2 linked regions of the Stegostoma tigrinum genome follow. The protein of the gene in region 1 purifies or fractionates together with the protein of each later gene. This does not show direct contact. Links are inferred from orthologs where the notes say so. Each region holds a gene or a part of one and is shown on either strand. Other genes may lie near its edges.

Region 1 (7,896 bases):
AATAAAGGGAAAGAATGTTCGAGTTGGAAAAGATGAAGCAGCTTGAACACGATAAAGGACAAGAAAGAGAGTTTGAACTTTGCAAGTTGGCGATTAGACCAGAAAGTCAATTTAAAAGGATGGAGCTGAAGGTAGAGTGTAGGCTTAATGAGGATGACAGTGATGATGAGCAAACCCATAGTAGCCAAAGTCCTAGATAACAAGATGTAGAGCTGGATGAACACAGCCAGTCAAGCAGCGTCAGAGGAGCAGGAAAGCTGGCGTTCCAGGCCAGAAATTTCTGAAGAAGGGTCTCGACCCAAAATGTCAAATTTTCCTGCTCCTCTGATGCTGCTTGGCCTGCTGTGTTCATCCAGCTTCACACCATGTTATCTCAGATTCTCCAGCATCGGCAGTTCCTACTATCTCTGTAAGCTTTTTAAAGGTGCCTGTTTTACCCCACTGCTAATGTGTTCTGAAGCCAGTTGGTGAAGTGGCAATCTTTTAGTTAATTTCAGAATGCAACATTACAAATGTCTGTCTGCTCCCTAACCAATATCTGGTGTCTCAGAAGTCTCACTTTATGAGCTTTGTTCAGACATGCTATGAAACACCTCCAGAGCAGATGGGACTTGAACCCAGGCCTTCTCAGGTGGGGACACTATTGCTGTGCTACATGAGCAGTTCACAAAACAAGAGAACATCACACCACGAGTCATTCTGGACTTGAACCAGCAAAATCTCACAAGTTCATTCCGAAGCCACATACCTCAAAATGAGAATCATACCCCTCAAGCAATGCGGCAGCTGCCAGAAATCTCTCTTCATATTTGATTCAATGGAATCAAACCAACCTAATTAAATAAAAGTAGTCATCACAGTCATACCAAACCCATAGGCTGCTCTTCTTTTGAGAGGGATGACTGGTGGTGGTTTAACCTGAGGGTGACCATGCCTCAGGCAAGGGGGAAAGTTGAGAAGGTAAGTCTTCCCAGACAGTGGCCCATCAAAGCATGAATGAGGTCTGAATCTGCTTTGCTTCTAAGAAGAGATCCGGTCAAATGTGTTCAGTCAAGTATGGCCATTGTCAAGATTCTCTTTTTATTTGTTCAATGTACTTACAAATTTGAATTTTCCAGTCAATTCTTACTTTTGATATATATATGTATATACTGTCATCCTTACCTAGTCTGGCTCTAGGTTTGAGGACAGACTGATAAAGACCAGAAATAAGAGTGAAAGGATGTACCAAAATGTAAGCAGACAGCCAGTCAAAAACATGAGAGAGAGTGTGGTGGGGAGAAGCATGACATAGAAAGCCAGTTTCTCATACTTAAGTTTCGAACATCCACACAAGAGCAAGTAATGTATAACAAAAAAGAATTTCACTCCCCTAAGTGGCTCAGCTGGGAAGTACAGGTTCAGGTGGAACTTAGCGATATAGATCAGCAATGTATCCTCAGATTCATTGGTCTGAGTGAAATTACCTAAGCGCAGCTGTGTTGGCGACAGTGCAGATACATTATACTTCAGGATTTCTAGGCTATCAGGAGAAAATTCAGCTCAATGTTCTCACAATTAGTCACTGTCCAGTGGCTCCTACTAGGAACGATATGTACTTGGACATCACGTCAAGTTGCACATGAACAGTCTGCTGGTATTGATCGTCTAGGCTTGCATGAAGAATTATCGCTTGGATGAGGAACTACCCAATGACTGACACTTGGTAAAAGTCTGTAGCAACAGGGGGAGAGAGGTGCAGTGAAGTAGGGGAATCTGGAAGAAGTACAGAAAAGGAACATCCAGAAATAAACCTGTAAGAAACCAGCACCGGATTCTATGAATTAGGTGAGAAAATAGAGCTGTTTACTAGATTACAAGGGAAAATGACATCCTTGCGATTTTATTGTCAATGTTCTGACCCTACTTCACTACCAAGTTCCAGATTAAACAGCCAAACTCTCACAATATCAGGATTAAAGAATTTCTTTATCAGTGGATGGAATAATGATGGAAGCTCTATACCACACCTCCGAGAGACTGCGTTTTCATCCAGGGCTAAGGAAAAACTGATACTGTTCACCTTTCCTCACTGCCTGTAAGGTTCCTATCAAGCGATCAGAGAGGCCAGTGCCTGCAGGCAGTGTCCCACTGCTACTTGTAAAGCTACTTTATGATGATCACCACCAACTGATATCACAGTTGATAGATAAGTCATGCACGATGTGACATATCTTCAGGGCTTTTCTAAGGTCAGGTTGGCTGGTATTTTTTTAGTCCCATTAGTTAGTACTCTGCGAAATCAGGCTCCACGTAACCCATCACCCATAATAATCAGTCTCCGAAATAAAACAAAAGGCTATTGTACTTACAGCGAAACTTCAAACAGCCAGTCACTTAACTGACCATTATCAAGAATCTCACATCTAATTTGAGAACCTGCAACAGTGCTGCTCTAACTAAACCTTTTTCGCAGAAATATGTACTATTACTGCTTATAAACACACACACACATTGTTATATATAACTGTAAATACCGAAACAAGTCAGGTCCTATACTGACTTGAGCATGGGTTAGTTTATATTTTCTTCAGATTCTCGATGAAAGACAACCTCTTTAACACGTAAACAAGCCTGACTGCTCAACATCTAGGAGGCAATACAGCGCTTACCTGACACTCTTCTGAAAACAAGTGAAATTTCTGGTCAATTGATGTAAGCTCGTTTTCAGGAACAAAACAGTCACATTGGAACACACAGTTGTTCATGCGTTGCATCTCAACTTGTCTGCTTCGAAGGACATCTGTCACTGGAATATACTGATTCAGGAGAGGGAGAAGGGGCCCGAAATATGTTTGCCCTGCATACAAAATACTGCTTGCTTGCTTTAGTGGGACACCAAACCAACTGCCGAACGTACTCACTAATTTCATTCAAACCTAACAGCTCGCCAGAAAAGTATTCTCTCGTATGAAACATCAGCAGCAAAATTCTCCAGCTCCCCCACTGAAAATCCACTGATCCGCCAGGACCAAGACTTTAAGGGTTGAGTAAGGTCCTTCAAGCAATACTTAAGTCCCCTGGGGAGCATTTTTTTCTCTCATTTAAAGTAGATTGGACGATATAATAAAAATAAACGAATGACATCTAGAATGAGTTTGGAAGTTTTTCTGGCGTAGGAATGTTTTGTTTGCTGTGGTGCTGGGAAGACGGTTGCAGAAGGAATTATAGTTGAGCAGAGAATCGTTGCCAACATTTGCAACACAAATTCCGTGCGTAGGTATAATACTTTCGCTCCAGCAGCTTCACAAACTTTTCCATGTATTCGCGCAGCAGGAATGGCAGAAGTGCCAATTTGCGCGGACGAATATAGTAGTCCTTCAGAAACCTACTTCTGGCACTTTGACCAGACTCTGACCTACTGTATGTTCAATGATAAAATAAAACAACGACCCAATTGGTCCAAATAATAGTTTCGAATGGATGTGGTGGTGGGGGGGGGGGGGGGTGAAGGCATTCCAGGAGATGAGCCAAATAAGTATCACAGTTATTTATTCGCGGTGACACAAATAATTGTTCGAGCAACATGCTTTCACTGAAGGTTGTGTAATAACTAAGAACTTTTATTTTAGTAAAAGCTGACTACCCCGAAATGTATAATGTGTCACAATTGTTAATTTATTTTAGTAGAGAACATTTGGGTAATAATAGTTCAGTTGTGAGAAACTTATTATCGAATTGTAAAATGAACTTTCCGGAATGTTTCCTTTTAACGTGGAGAATGGAATTGAAGCCAATTTGGGAATTTGGCTGCATGTTGTGTCTTCATCGATCCTTGATCCACTGCTTCCACAGAAAACGTTATGAAGCATTTATTGTACCAAACACACTTGTCAGTAATGAAATCATATTGAAAAGATTCAAAGTAATGAAGCATTCAAATGGAAAGAGAATGACAATTTGATTTCAAATATATATATGAACAGCTCATATATAATACATGTTTATTGATTAATCAGTGTGTCTTAAGAACGGTGATCACAAATAAAGACCATTCTCTTGAAATTGTAAAGAAATTTGTGGCTGTATAGATGATATTAAAGCTATTAATTAGCTTACACTTGTTGATAGCAGGGTGACGAAACAGAGCATGCGCTTTCAAATATAAAAAAAATGCCCTTTCAATGGAATTTAATTTTTGAATGATCTGTTTTTGGGTGAAGTTGGATCAAAGAACTGGGCTTTTTGCAGGATATGCGAAAACACATTCCATAAAAATACATTTGTATAGGGACTTTGGATTTAAATTTCTGAAATCAATTCTGAATACCTGTCGGAAAGGATATTCTGCATGTTGCAAATACACAGAGAACATAGAACATCACAGCACAGTACAGGCCATTCAGCCCTCGATGTTGTGCCGACCTGTCATACCAACCTGAAGCCCATCTAACCTACACTATTCCATGTACGTCCATATGGTTGTCGAATGACGACTTAAATGCACTTAAAGTTGGCAAATCTACTACCATTGCAGGCAAAGCGTTCCATTCCCTTACTACTCTCTGACATTCATAAAGTCAGGAGGTATGAGATACAGGGTGATTTGGCTGCCTGGATTCAGAACTGGTTGGCTGACAGGAGGCAGAGAGTGGTTGTAGATGGTAAATATTCTGCCTGTAGGTTAGTGCTGAGTGGTGTCGCACAGGGCTCTGTTCTTGGGCCTCTGCTCTTTGTAGTTTTTATAAATGACTTGGATGAGGAGGTTGAGGGGTGGGTTAGTATGTTTGCTGATGACATAAAGGTTGGAGGTGCCGTTGATAGTATCGAGGGCTATTGCAGGCTTCAGCGAGACATTGACAGAATGCAGAGCTGGGCAGAGAAATGGCAGATGGAGTTCAACCTGGATAATTGCGAAGTGATGCATTTTGGAAGGTCGAATTTAAATGCTGAATATAGGATTAAAGGCAGGATTCTCGGCAGTGTGGAGGAACAGTGGGATCTTGGTGTTCAAGTGCATAGCTCCCTCATAGTTGCCACCCAGGTGGATAAGGTTGTTAAGAAAGCATATGGTGTTTTGGCTTTCATTAACAGGGGGATTGAGTTTAAGAGTTGTGAGGTTATGCTGCAGCTCTACAAAACCCTGGTGAGACCACACTTGGAATATTGTGTCCAGTTCTGGTCACCCTATTATAGGAAAGATGTGGAGGCTTTGGAGAGGGTGCAAAGGAGATTTACCGGGATGCTGCCTGGACTGGGGGGCTTGCCTTACGAGGAGAGGTTGACTGAGCTCGGACTTTTCTCTCTGGAGAGAAGGAGGAAGAGATGTGACCTGATCGAGGTGTACAAAGTAATGAGAGGCATGGATAGAGTCGATAGCCAGAGACTTTTCCCCAGGGCAGGATTGACTGCCACGCGGGGTCATAGTTTTACGGTGTTAGGAGGAAGGTATAGAGGAGACATCAGAGGGAGGTTCTTCACCCAGAGACTTGTGAGCGCATGGAATAGTTTACCAGTGGTAGTCGTGGAAGTGGAGTCATTAGTGACATTTAAGCGACTGCTGGACATGCACATGGACAGCAGTGAATTGAGGGGAATGTAGGTTAGGTTATTTTATTTTTGGATGAGGATTATTCCACAGCACAACATCATGGGCCAAAGGGCCTGCACTGTGCTGTACTTTTCTATGTTCTATGTTCTATGTAAAGAAACTATCTCTGTCCTATATCTTTCACCCCTCAATTTAAAGCCATGCCTCCTTGTGCTCGCCATCACCATCCTAGGAAAAAGGCTCTCCCTATCCACCCTATCTAACCCTCTGATTATTTTATATGTCTCAATTAAGTCACCTCTCAACCTTCTTCTCTCTAACAAAAACAGCCTCAAGTCCCTCAGCCTTTCCTCGTAAGACCTTCCCTCCATACCAGGCAACATCCTAGTAAATCTCCTCTGCACCCTTTCCAAAGCTTCCACATCCTTCTTATAATGCAGTGACCAGAACTGTACGCAATACGCCAAGTGCGGCCGCACCAGAGTTTTTGTACGGCTACAGCATAATCTCATGGTTCCGGAACTCGATCCCTCTATTAATAAAAGCTAAAACACTGTATGCCTTCTTAACAGCCCTGTCAACCTGGGTGGCGACTTCCAAGGATCTGTGTACATGGACACCGAGATCTCTCTGCTCATCTACACTACCAAGAATCTTACCATTTAGCCCTGTACTTTGCCTTCTGATTACTCCTACCAAAGTGCATCACCTCACACTTGTCTGCATTAAACTCCATTTGCCACCGCTCAGCCCAGCTCTGCAGCTTATTTATGTCTCTCTGTAACCTACAACATCCTTCGTCACTATCCACAACTCCACCGCCCTTAGTGTTGTCTGCAAATTTACTAACCCATCCTTCTACACCCTCATCCAGGTCATTTATAAAAATGACAAACAGCAGTGGACCCAACACCGACTCTTGCGGTACACCACTAGTAACTGGTCTCCAGGATGAACATTTCCCATCAACTACCACCCTCTGTCTTCTTTCAGCAAGCCAATTTCCGATCCAAACTGCTATATCTCCCACAATCCCATTCCTCTGCATTTTGTAGAATAGCCTACTGTGGGGAACCTTATCGAACACCTTGCTGAAATCCATATACACCACATCAACCGGTTTACTCTCATCTACCTGTCTGGCCACCTTCTTAAAGAACTTGATAAGGTTTGTGAGGCACGACCTACCTTTCACAAAACCGTGCTGACTATCCCTAATCAAATTCTTCTTTTCTAAATGATTATAAATCCTATCTCTTATAACCTTTTCCAACACTTTACCAACAACTGAAGTAAGGCTGACTGGTCTATAATTACCAGGGTTGTCTCTACTCCCCTTCTTGAACAGGGGAACCACATTTGCTATCCTCCAGTCGTCTGGCACTATTCCTGCAGACAATGATGAGTTAAAGATCAATGCCAAAGGCTTGGCAATCTCCTCCCTGGCTTCCCAGAGGATCCTAGGATAAATCCCATCTGGCCCAGGGGACTTATCTATCTTCACACTCTGTAGGATTTCTAATACCTCTTCCTTGTGAACCTCAATCCCACCTAGTCTAATAGCCTGTGTCTCAGTATTCTCCTTGACAACATTGTCATTTTCTAGAGTGAATACAGTTGAAAAATATTCATTTAGTGCTTCCCCTATCTCCTCTGACTCCACACACAACTTTCCACTACTATCCTTGATTGGCCCTAATCTTACTCTTGTCATTCTTTTATTCTGTAAATACCTATAGAAAGCCTTAGAGTTTACCCTGATCCTATCCGCCAACAACTTCTCATGTCTTCTCCTGGCTCTTCTGAGCTCTCTCTTTAGGTCTTTCCTGGCTACCTTGTAACCCTCAAGTGCCCTAACTGAGCCTTCATGTCTCATCCTAACATAAGCCTCCTTCTTCCTCTTGACCACAGATCCCACTTCCTTTGTAAACCACGGCTCCCGCGCTCTACAGCTTCCTCCCTGCCTGACAGGTACACACTTATCTAGGACACACAGAAGCTTTTCCTTGAATAGTCTCCACATTTCTAAAGTGCTCATCCCGTGCAGTTTCCTTCCCCATTCTATGCTCCCTAAACCTTGCCTAATCTCATCGTAATTGCCTTTCCCCCAGCTATAACTCTTGCCCAGGAACATACACCTATCCCTTTTCATCACTGAAGTAAACATAACAGAATTGTGATCATTATCACCAAAGTGCCCACCTACTTCCAAATCTAACGTCTGGCCGGGCTCATTACCAGTACCAAATCTAATGTGGCTTCGCCCCTTGTTGGCCTGTCTACATACTGTGTCAGGAAGCCCTCCTGCATACACTGGACAAAAACTGACCCATCTATAGTACTCGAACTACAGTGCTCCCAGTCAA
Region 2 (7,387 bases), on another chromosome or scaffold:
GAGTGGGGTATATTACAAGTTGCAAGACTCAAACTTAATGAATAGCTACTGTTATTGCCAAGAGTTAATTATACTCTCTCAGGAAGAAATCCTGAAAATTATGTTCTTGAGTAATAATGACAGTAGGAGGTCAAGCCATAATTTACACAGACTGCCAAAAAACAAGAAACAAGAGATTATAGTAAAAAAGGCCATTCTGAATCCAGTATTTCAAACTCCAGCCAAATACTCAAATGTTCAAAATGGAGTCTCACGGCGTTAGCGATACGAACTTCACAACAGATGATCATTTTGCCAACTCAGCACAATCTTGAATGGGATTTGCACTGATTACGTAAAGTAGTATGCAGGTCTCAAGAAATACTGTAAGATACACTTAAAATGAAAAGAGTATTCAGGACTGTATTTGTAACATTTCAAGCCTATTTTGTGCTTTAAATCAAGATTGAAAGAAATACAAAAAGATAACTTGTGGTTGACTCCTCTGAAGGCTCAAAAAAGTATTTAATCACAAACAACACTGCACAAAAGCTGCACAGCCATTTTAGTGGCTGAAATGTCTGAATATGCAAGTTACTTTTAGGAACAGAAACTTCAAACCAAGCATTCTGCTGTCAGCATTTCTTGCTTTAGTCAGCTGATGGATGTCTATTCCATTCTTAATGCTAACATACACTACAGACGACTAGCAGAAAAGCCTCCTTACACGTAGCATTTGGATTGATGGGCAGAAGGCTATACTCTCCTACAGGTTCTATTTTCCCCAAATTAATATTTGCATTTGATTGCTTATTTTGGATGACAATCCACTAAATGACAGAACATCACTGTCGGAAAGATCAAGACTACAAAACATGCTGACAGATTATGAAGCTGTCTGTTGCCACGTTATGTTTTAATCAATGATTATGCTGAAATATTAGAACTTCCTGTATGATCCTTCTGATAAATATTATATATAAATTTGACAAGGGGCATCTTTTTCAAACTTAATGGAAACTATGGTATTACTATGTACACATTTTGAAATCATCGTAAGTTAAATGCTCTCTCAACTATTTCAGGATTTAAAGGCACAAATTGAATAGAGGAAATTTATTTCTTAAACATACAGCACAGGAGGCCACCTGATCGATCTCTTCTGCACTGGTTCTTCTGAAAGCGTATCTATTTATTCCCAAACACTCTTCCTTACCGACAGACCTAAAAATCTATCCTAGTGCAGCTGGAAGCAGTTTCAATAGCAGATTTAAAAGGGGAATTAGATAACTATCGGAAGGGAAAAATAAATTGTAGAACTACAGGAAAAGGATGAGAGATTAGAACTAGCTAAGTTGTTCTTGTAGTATGCTAGCATGGACGCAAAGGGCCAAATGGTTCCCTTGTGCTGTAATTATTCCCTACTTCTATGGAATCCTGTTAACACGAACAATCATTCTTCAAGAGACAGTCAACTGCGTTAAAAACTGTCATATCGGCTACATGTCAATACAATTGAAATAAATTGGACATGGACAAAGGTTTGCACATGAGATTATACATATTTCAGTGATTACTAGACAGAATATTTACTACAAAACCTGTTTTAATAACCAATGCTCAAATACCTACTACATAGTGTAACACTCAGTAATAAATTATCAAATTCAAATTAACAAATTACTGATTTCATTAACACTAATCAACATCTCAGCATTTTTCTGCACAATACAATAAATATGTAGATAGTGGTGATATTAATTTCAAAATCTTCCAGATCTCTCAATTCTAGTGCAGTTCAAGTGGGAAAAATACCAGTTAGTTAGTGACCTAATACAAGAAGGAAGTTTCACAGAAAAACAACAAGTGCTTCCACCTCTAGCAGGTTTCCAGATGTTTCACTGCTCAAAAATGCAGTCATCTACACAAAACCTGATGCTAATCGAGCCACAACTGGAATTAAATTTCAAGTTCATCAGAAAAGATGAAAGTTTTTGAAAAATAGTTGCAGAATTTCAGGAGTAAATAGAGTTTTATTAATTTTTTGACTCTTGTCTCTTTTGAAGCAATTTTAAACATTCATAAAAGTATAATAATGGCAATATTGCCATAATAATGACCATACAATACTGGCAAACATATCAATTCCAGTCTGTTTTCTTCATTGCTATGGATATTCAGATTGTACACAGTCAGTATTGCTAAAGCATTGTATTAACAGGAAATATATTTAACTCAAAACAAAACAAACATGCTGAAAAATGGGTAATGGATCAAAGTGTTTCACTTTTATAGCCATTGCATCTGATCAGTTTGTTAAATTTGGAAACCCACCACCTAAAGTGGTGTCTCTTACAGTACTAGTCAAAGACTATCTTTCAGCTTTAAATCTCATTCAACCATACCTGGTTTTGCATTTACACAGAGGAAAGCCTGGAAGCTGGATGCACAGAGCTCACTAACAGTTCCCATCACTCGGTTCAATTTTTTTATAATCCAAAAGCCGTCAAATGTATTTATCTCAGTGGATATGGGCTTTTCGCCACACAGGCTTCACGGGATAATGTAATCTCTCTGGTAGTCAGTTTTGAAGTCCTCTCCCAAATGGGGAAATACTGTCATCTGGTTTTTCTCTATATATGTAGTCCCTTGGTGCACCACTGCAGCAGACTGTCAGTAATCGAATTTCACTGGCCACACATCCAGGAAAGGCTTAAATATTTCCAAATTGCCAAAGTGTTTCAACGTCACTGCCTGACAACCTGCCTCAGTATTCATTCAGCCAATCAGGTGCACATAGATGACAACACAATCTAACGTCTATTTAAGTAATAAAGTCAAATAATTGTGAATTACTTGCATCTCCAACCTTAGCTCCTACCAGCCCTTGTCAAGGTGAATGTTATTAAGTTTTCTAGGGGCTTTTAATTTATAACAAAGATTCCATGTTCACCTACAAAACCTTTTTCATTGTTGCTTAGCAACTTACTCTCCATTACATAAAATGAACGCACTAAAAATGTACTCAGTATTGTGTAAAAGGTTTTTTTTTTAAAAAGTGTTAGAAATTAAGACTTGCACTATTACTAAAAAAACTTGAAAAGTAATTGCAATTCTTCAAAAGAATGAAAAGAGATTCTTCTAAACAAGGTTCAAAGATTCCAGCTTCTATGATAAAAGGAGCAGTATTATCCAATTTGTTTGTTTTTTAACATGTGATTTTGCCAAAGCTGGCTACAGTACACAATACTACAAAATAGTACATTCAGGGATTTTTTTTGGCAATGTTTTAAATGATTGACTAATCATAATTAGTTCTAAAAATATGCCCTTTGGGCATGCAACATGTTTTTCAGTAATTTATATATTTCTGGTCAAAGGTGAGAAGATAAATGTAGAGCTTAACACGATATAAATTTATTTCACTAGTACCCAGATATGTTTTAGAAAGCAACTTCTCTTTTTAAATATTCATCTGATACTGTTACAGTTGTTTTTTTAAACATCAGAAAAGCACTGCAGCAATGTGTTCAATTTGTCATTTTTTTGGCACACATTTCTTTGTAATCTCACTAGGATGCAGGTACAATTTAACAAATGTCATGAAGTTTCTTTTCCAACAATCTCTTACAGGTTTATAATCTCAGTTTTGATTTTCAGTCAAAATGCTGATCAAAACTGAAGTTCTGCTCTCTTATGCCACAGTCACTGGTGCAATATGAGGAGGAGTAAAGCTATTTGACTGCTATCAAGTTTGATACCGGATCCAAATTCATTCAAATGATGTATTGTTGGAAGACTTCAGAAATGTCAACACATTTTCTTTTTCCAAGATACTTTCAATCTTAGATCTATTCCTTTAAAGGAAAAGACTATATAGTCCTCATGTAGAAATGAAAAGCTAAAATAACAGGAGCTGTCAGCAAGTGGGGAGTAAAAAAATAACTTATGTATCTAAGAAAGCAGATAACATCCAGTGACTGTGCAGCGCTCCATATATGGCAAGCTTATTTATAGGGCAGACAATGCTTTCAGACAACTATAGCGGACAGCATCCTCGTGTACTAAAACGACATATCAAGTTGTAGTAGGGTATAAGGATGCAACTCCATCCCTCCGATTCACAATATGGCAAATTCCAATTATCTGCCAATTGATCGGCGAAGGACCATTTACCATGAGGAACCGTATTGAAACTGAAGTTATATCAGCTTCACATTTTTTTTTATAAAAATGTTCTGTTGATTTACGAGCAACGTTGATGAAGTTTTTCTTTCAATTCTTTTGTTGAGCCAGCATGTATTGCACATCCTTGGTTGCCCTTGAGAAGGTGGTGGTGAGCTGAACCACTGCAGTTCATGTGCTCTAGGTAGACCCACAATGCAGTTCGTGAGGGAATTCCAGGATTTTGACCAGCAACACTGAAGGAAAAGTGATACATTTCCAAGTCAGGATCATGATTAGGAGTTAATTATCTATGGCTGCAATGGTCCAAGAATATTGTAGTTATGTTATAAGAACTAATACACGTGTACATCATAATAGAGTAAGAAGAGTATATGTAATAGGGCTAACAAAGCAGCAAATTAATATTGGTGATGTTTTCTAATTTTAAGACTACACAAATTATTAACAATGGAGTTGTTGATCAACGTGCAGCATCTTTGCAGTTGATAAAAATAGCACTTTTATATCACAGTAATTGGGACCTATACAGAACAGCATAGGAGCAGGAGAAGCTCATTCAGCAGATGTCAGCGATTGTATATAAAAACTTCTGTGTAGTCCCATTGATCAAAAACAGCTATAGGGTATGTAAACATACGTTTCAAATCAGAGTCCAGTTTGGTGATCTAACAGCAATGATAAAATATGGAGAAATATAATCAAAACCTCAGAAGTTTGTAAGAAAATAAAGCAAAGAACTGCAGATGTTGGAAATCAGAAACACAAACAGAAATTGCTAGAAAGAAACTCAGCAGGCCTGGGAGTATCTGTAGAGAAAAAGTCAATGTTTCAGGTCCAGTGACTGTTCTTCAGAACAGATTGTAGCTAGGACACAGTACTATGCTATTCAGTGCTAGGTGGTGCCATACACACATTCTTAATCTCTCTCTCCAACAGCACCATCTCATGCTGGCTCAGAGCTGCCGTGACCCCAGTTCCATTTCATCCTCCGCCTCATCCAACACTAACAAGAATTTTTTCTTTTCCTTTCAGGCACTACTGAACACAAGAAGCAACACGTCCCTCTGGAAAGTTCCTCTCGCCCCTACCATCCGAACCCCCTAATCCCACCTCCTGTTGTGTGTTTACTATTTGTCTGACCTTAAGTTTCCTGATGCTGAGTGTTCTGTACTCAGCAAAAATCTCAGTTTTAATGTCTCTGCTTCATCCCCCAACCAAATGAATTTTGGGCATGACATGATGTTGAACTCCTCTTCCATCATTTTCACCTCCGTTCCTCTTTCTTTGGATGAAAGTCCTCTCCTAGTTCCACAAACCCCTTCACCCATCACCAACACTCTTCCTCCATTTGGACCCAAACCTGTGGTATTTACCGCCACTCAAAGTCACACTGGTTGCCTTAATATCTCTGCCTCCCAAAAACTGTGAACTGACTGCACTCCGTCCTCTCAGATCCAACCCTGACTTTGTAATCAAGCCTGTCAAGAAGGGTGGTGCAATTGCTGGCACTGGCATACTGGCCTCTTCATTATGGCTTCTGAGCACCAGCCCTTGGACACCTCTTCGTACTTCACATAGGACCATGACTCCACCACAAAACACCAGGCCACCGTGTCGCCAACAGTCACTAATTTCATGTCATCTGGCTATCTCCCCACCACTATCTCTGAGCTCATAGTCCTGCAAACTTCTACCTCTTTCCCAAAATCCACCAACAGGACCGCCTGGCAGACCCATCGTTTATCCCTGCTCTTGCCCCACACAACTCATCTCTTCCTACATCGACAGAATTGTTTCACCTCTTGTCCAGTCCCTTCCCTTTCCATCTGTTTCAGAATCTCCACTTTGTGGACTTAAGCCACCTCTTCTTTACCATGGACGTGCAATCCCTTTACACATCCATCCCTGATCAGGTGGTCTCAGGGTTTTCCACTACTTCCTGAAAAAACAAAAGTCTGAACGATCCCAATCCACCAACACCATCCTCCTCAACCTGGCCAAGATCACCCTTACTTTAAGCAACAACTCCTTTAACGCTCCTCTCTTTTCAGGTCAAAAAGGAGGCCATGGGTACCTGCATGGGCCCAGTTATGCCTGTCCCTTTGTGGAGTACATGGAACATACCTTGTTCTCCACCCACATTTCTTCAGTATATCAATAACATTGTCGGTGCTGCTTCCCTCTCTCACCCGGAATTGGGAAATGTTATCAATTTTGCTTCCAATTTCCACCCTGCTCTCACCTACACCTGGTCCACATTTGACTCCTTCCTTCCCTTCCTCAACATCCATGTCCATTCATGATGATGGGCTGGCCACCAATATCCACAACAAACCCACCAACTTCCACAGTTATCTTGATTATACGTCCTCACAACATGCTTCCTGCAAAGACAATACTCCATTATCCTAGTTCCTCCTTCTCCATCACATCTCTTCCAATGTGGCCAGATTCTGCAATGGGGCCTCTGAAACGTCCATTTCCTTCTTCAACTGAATTCCCCATGACCCTCATCTGTGTCCAATCCATCTCCTGCACTTCGGCCCTTACCACTTCACTGCCTTCTCTTAATAGCTATAGGGTCTCTCTCCGGTCCTCATTTTCTAACACACCAGCATCACAGCTAAAGGATCATTAACAACCTTTTTCGCCATCTCTAATAGAATTTCACCACAAGACATATTCACCTCACCTCCCTTGTCAGCCTTCTGCAGGGCCCATTCCCTCCAGGGCATCTTGTTCCACTGCTCCTCCATTCCCAACATCTCCCACAGCATCTTCTCTTGCAACAGCAGAGGGTGTCACAGCTGCCTGATTACTTCCTCTCTGCTCACCATGCAAGATCCCAGACACATTTTCAGGTGAGGCAGTGACTCACCTGCACTTCACTCAATATAGTCTACTGTATTCACTGCTCACAACGTGGCCTGCTGTACACTGGGGAGGCAAAATGCAGACTGGATGACCGCTTTGCAGAACATCAACATTCTGTCTGCAAAAGTGACCCTGAGCTTCCTATTGCTTGCCGCTTCAACACACCACCATGTTCCCTGGCCAACATCTGTGTCTCAGGCTTGCTGCAGTGCTCCAGCAAAACCAGTGCAAGCTGGATGGAAAGCATCTTACTTTCAGCTTGGGCACTCTACAGCCTTCAGGACTCAACATCAAGTTTAATAATGTTGGGACCTTAGCATTTTCTCCTATGTCCTTAGTTGAACCC

Evidence for each region.
Region 2: the proteins of innate immunity activator protein-like (region 1) and cyth1b purify together in Homo sapiens (co-immunoprecipitation; 3 studies listed by BioGRID and IntAct, counting the BioPlex papers as one, with this or other methods). This does not show direct contact. The link is inferred for Stegostoma tigrinum from reciprocal best matches to the Homo sapiens genes INAVA and CYTH1.

Annotation. Positions count from the first base shown.
Region 1 is NC_081374.1:27,357,921-27,365,816, reverse strand, and holds the start of innate immunity activator protein-like, read right to left. Parts: upstream 3,002-7,896; 5' UTR 2,652-3,001; intron 1-2,651. UniProt on the Homo sapiens protein: Expressed in peripheral macrophages and intestinal myeloid-derived cells, is required for optimal PRR (pattern recognition receptor)-induced signaling, cytokine secretion, and bacterial clearance.
Region 2 is NC_081375.1:16,533,426-16,540,812, forward strand, and holds the start of cyth1b (cytohesin-1b), read right to left. Parts: upstream 3,006-7,387; 5' UTR 2,452-3,005; coding exon 2,385-2,451; intron 1-2,384. UniProt on the Homo sapiens protein: Promotes guanine-nucleotide exchange on ARF1, ARF5 and ARF6. Promotes the activation of ARF factors through replacement of GDP with GTP.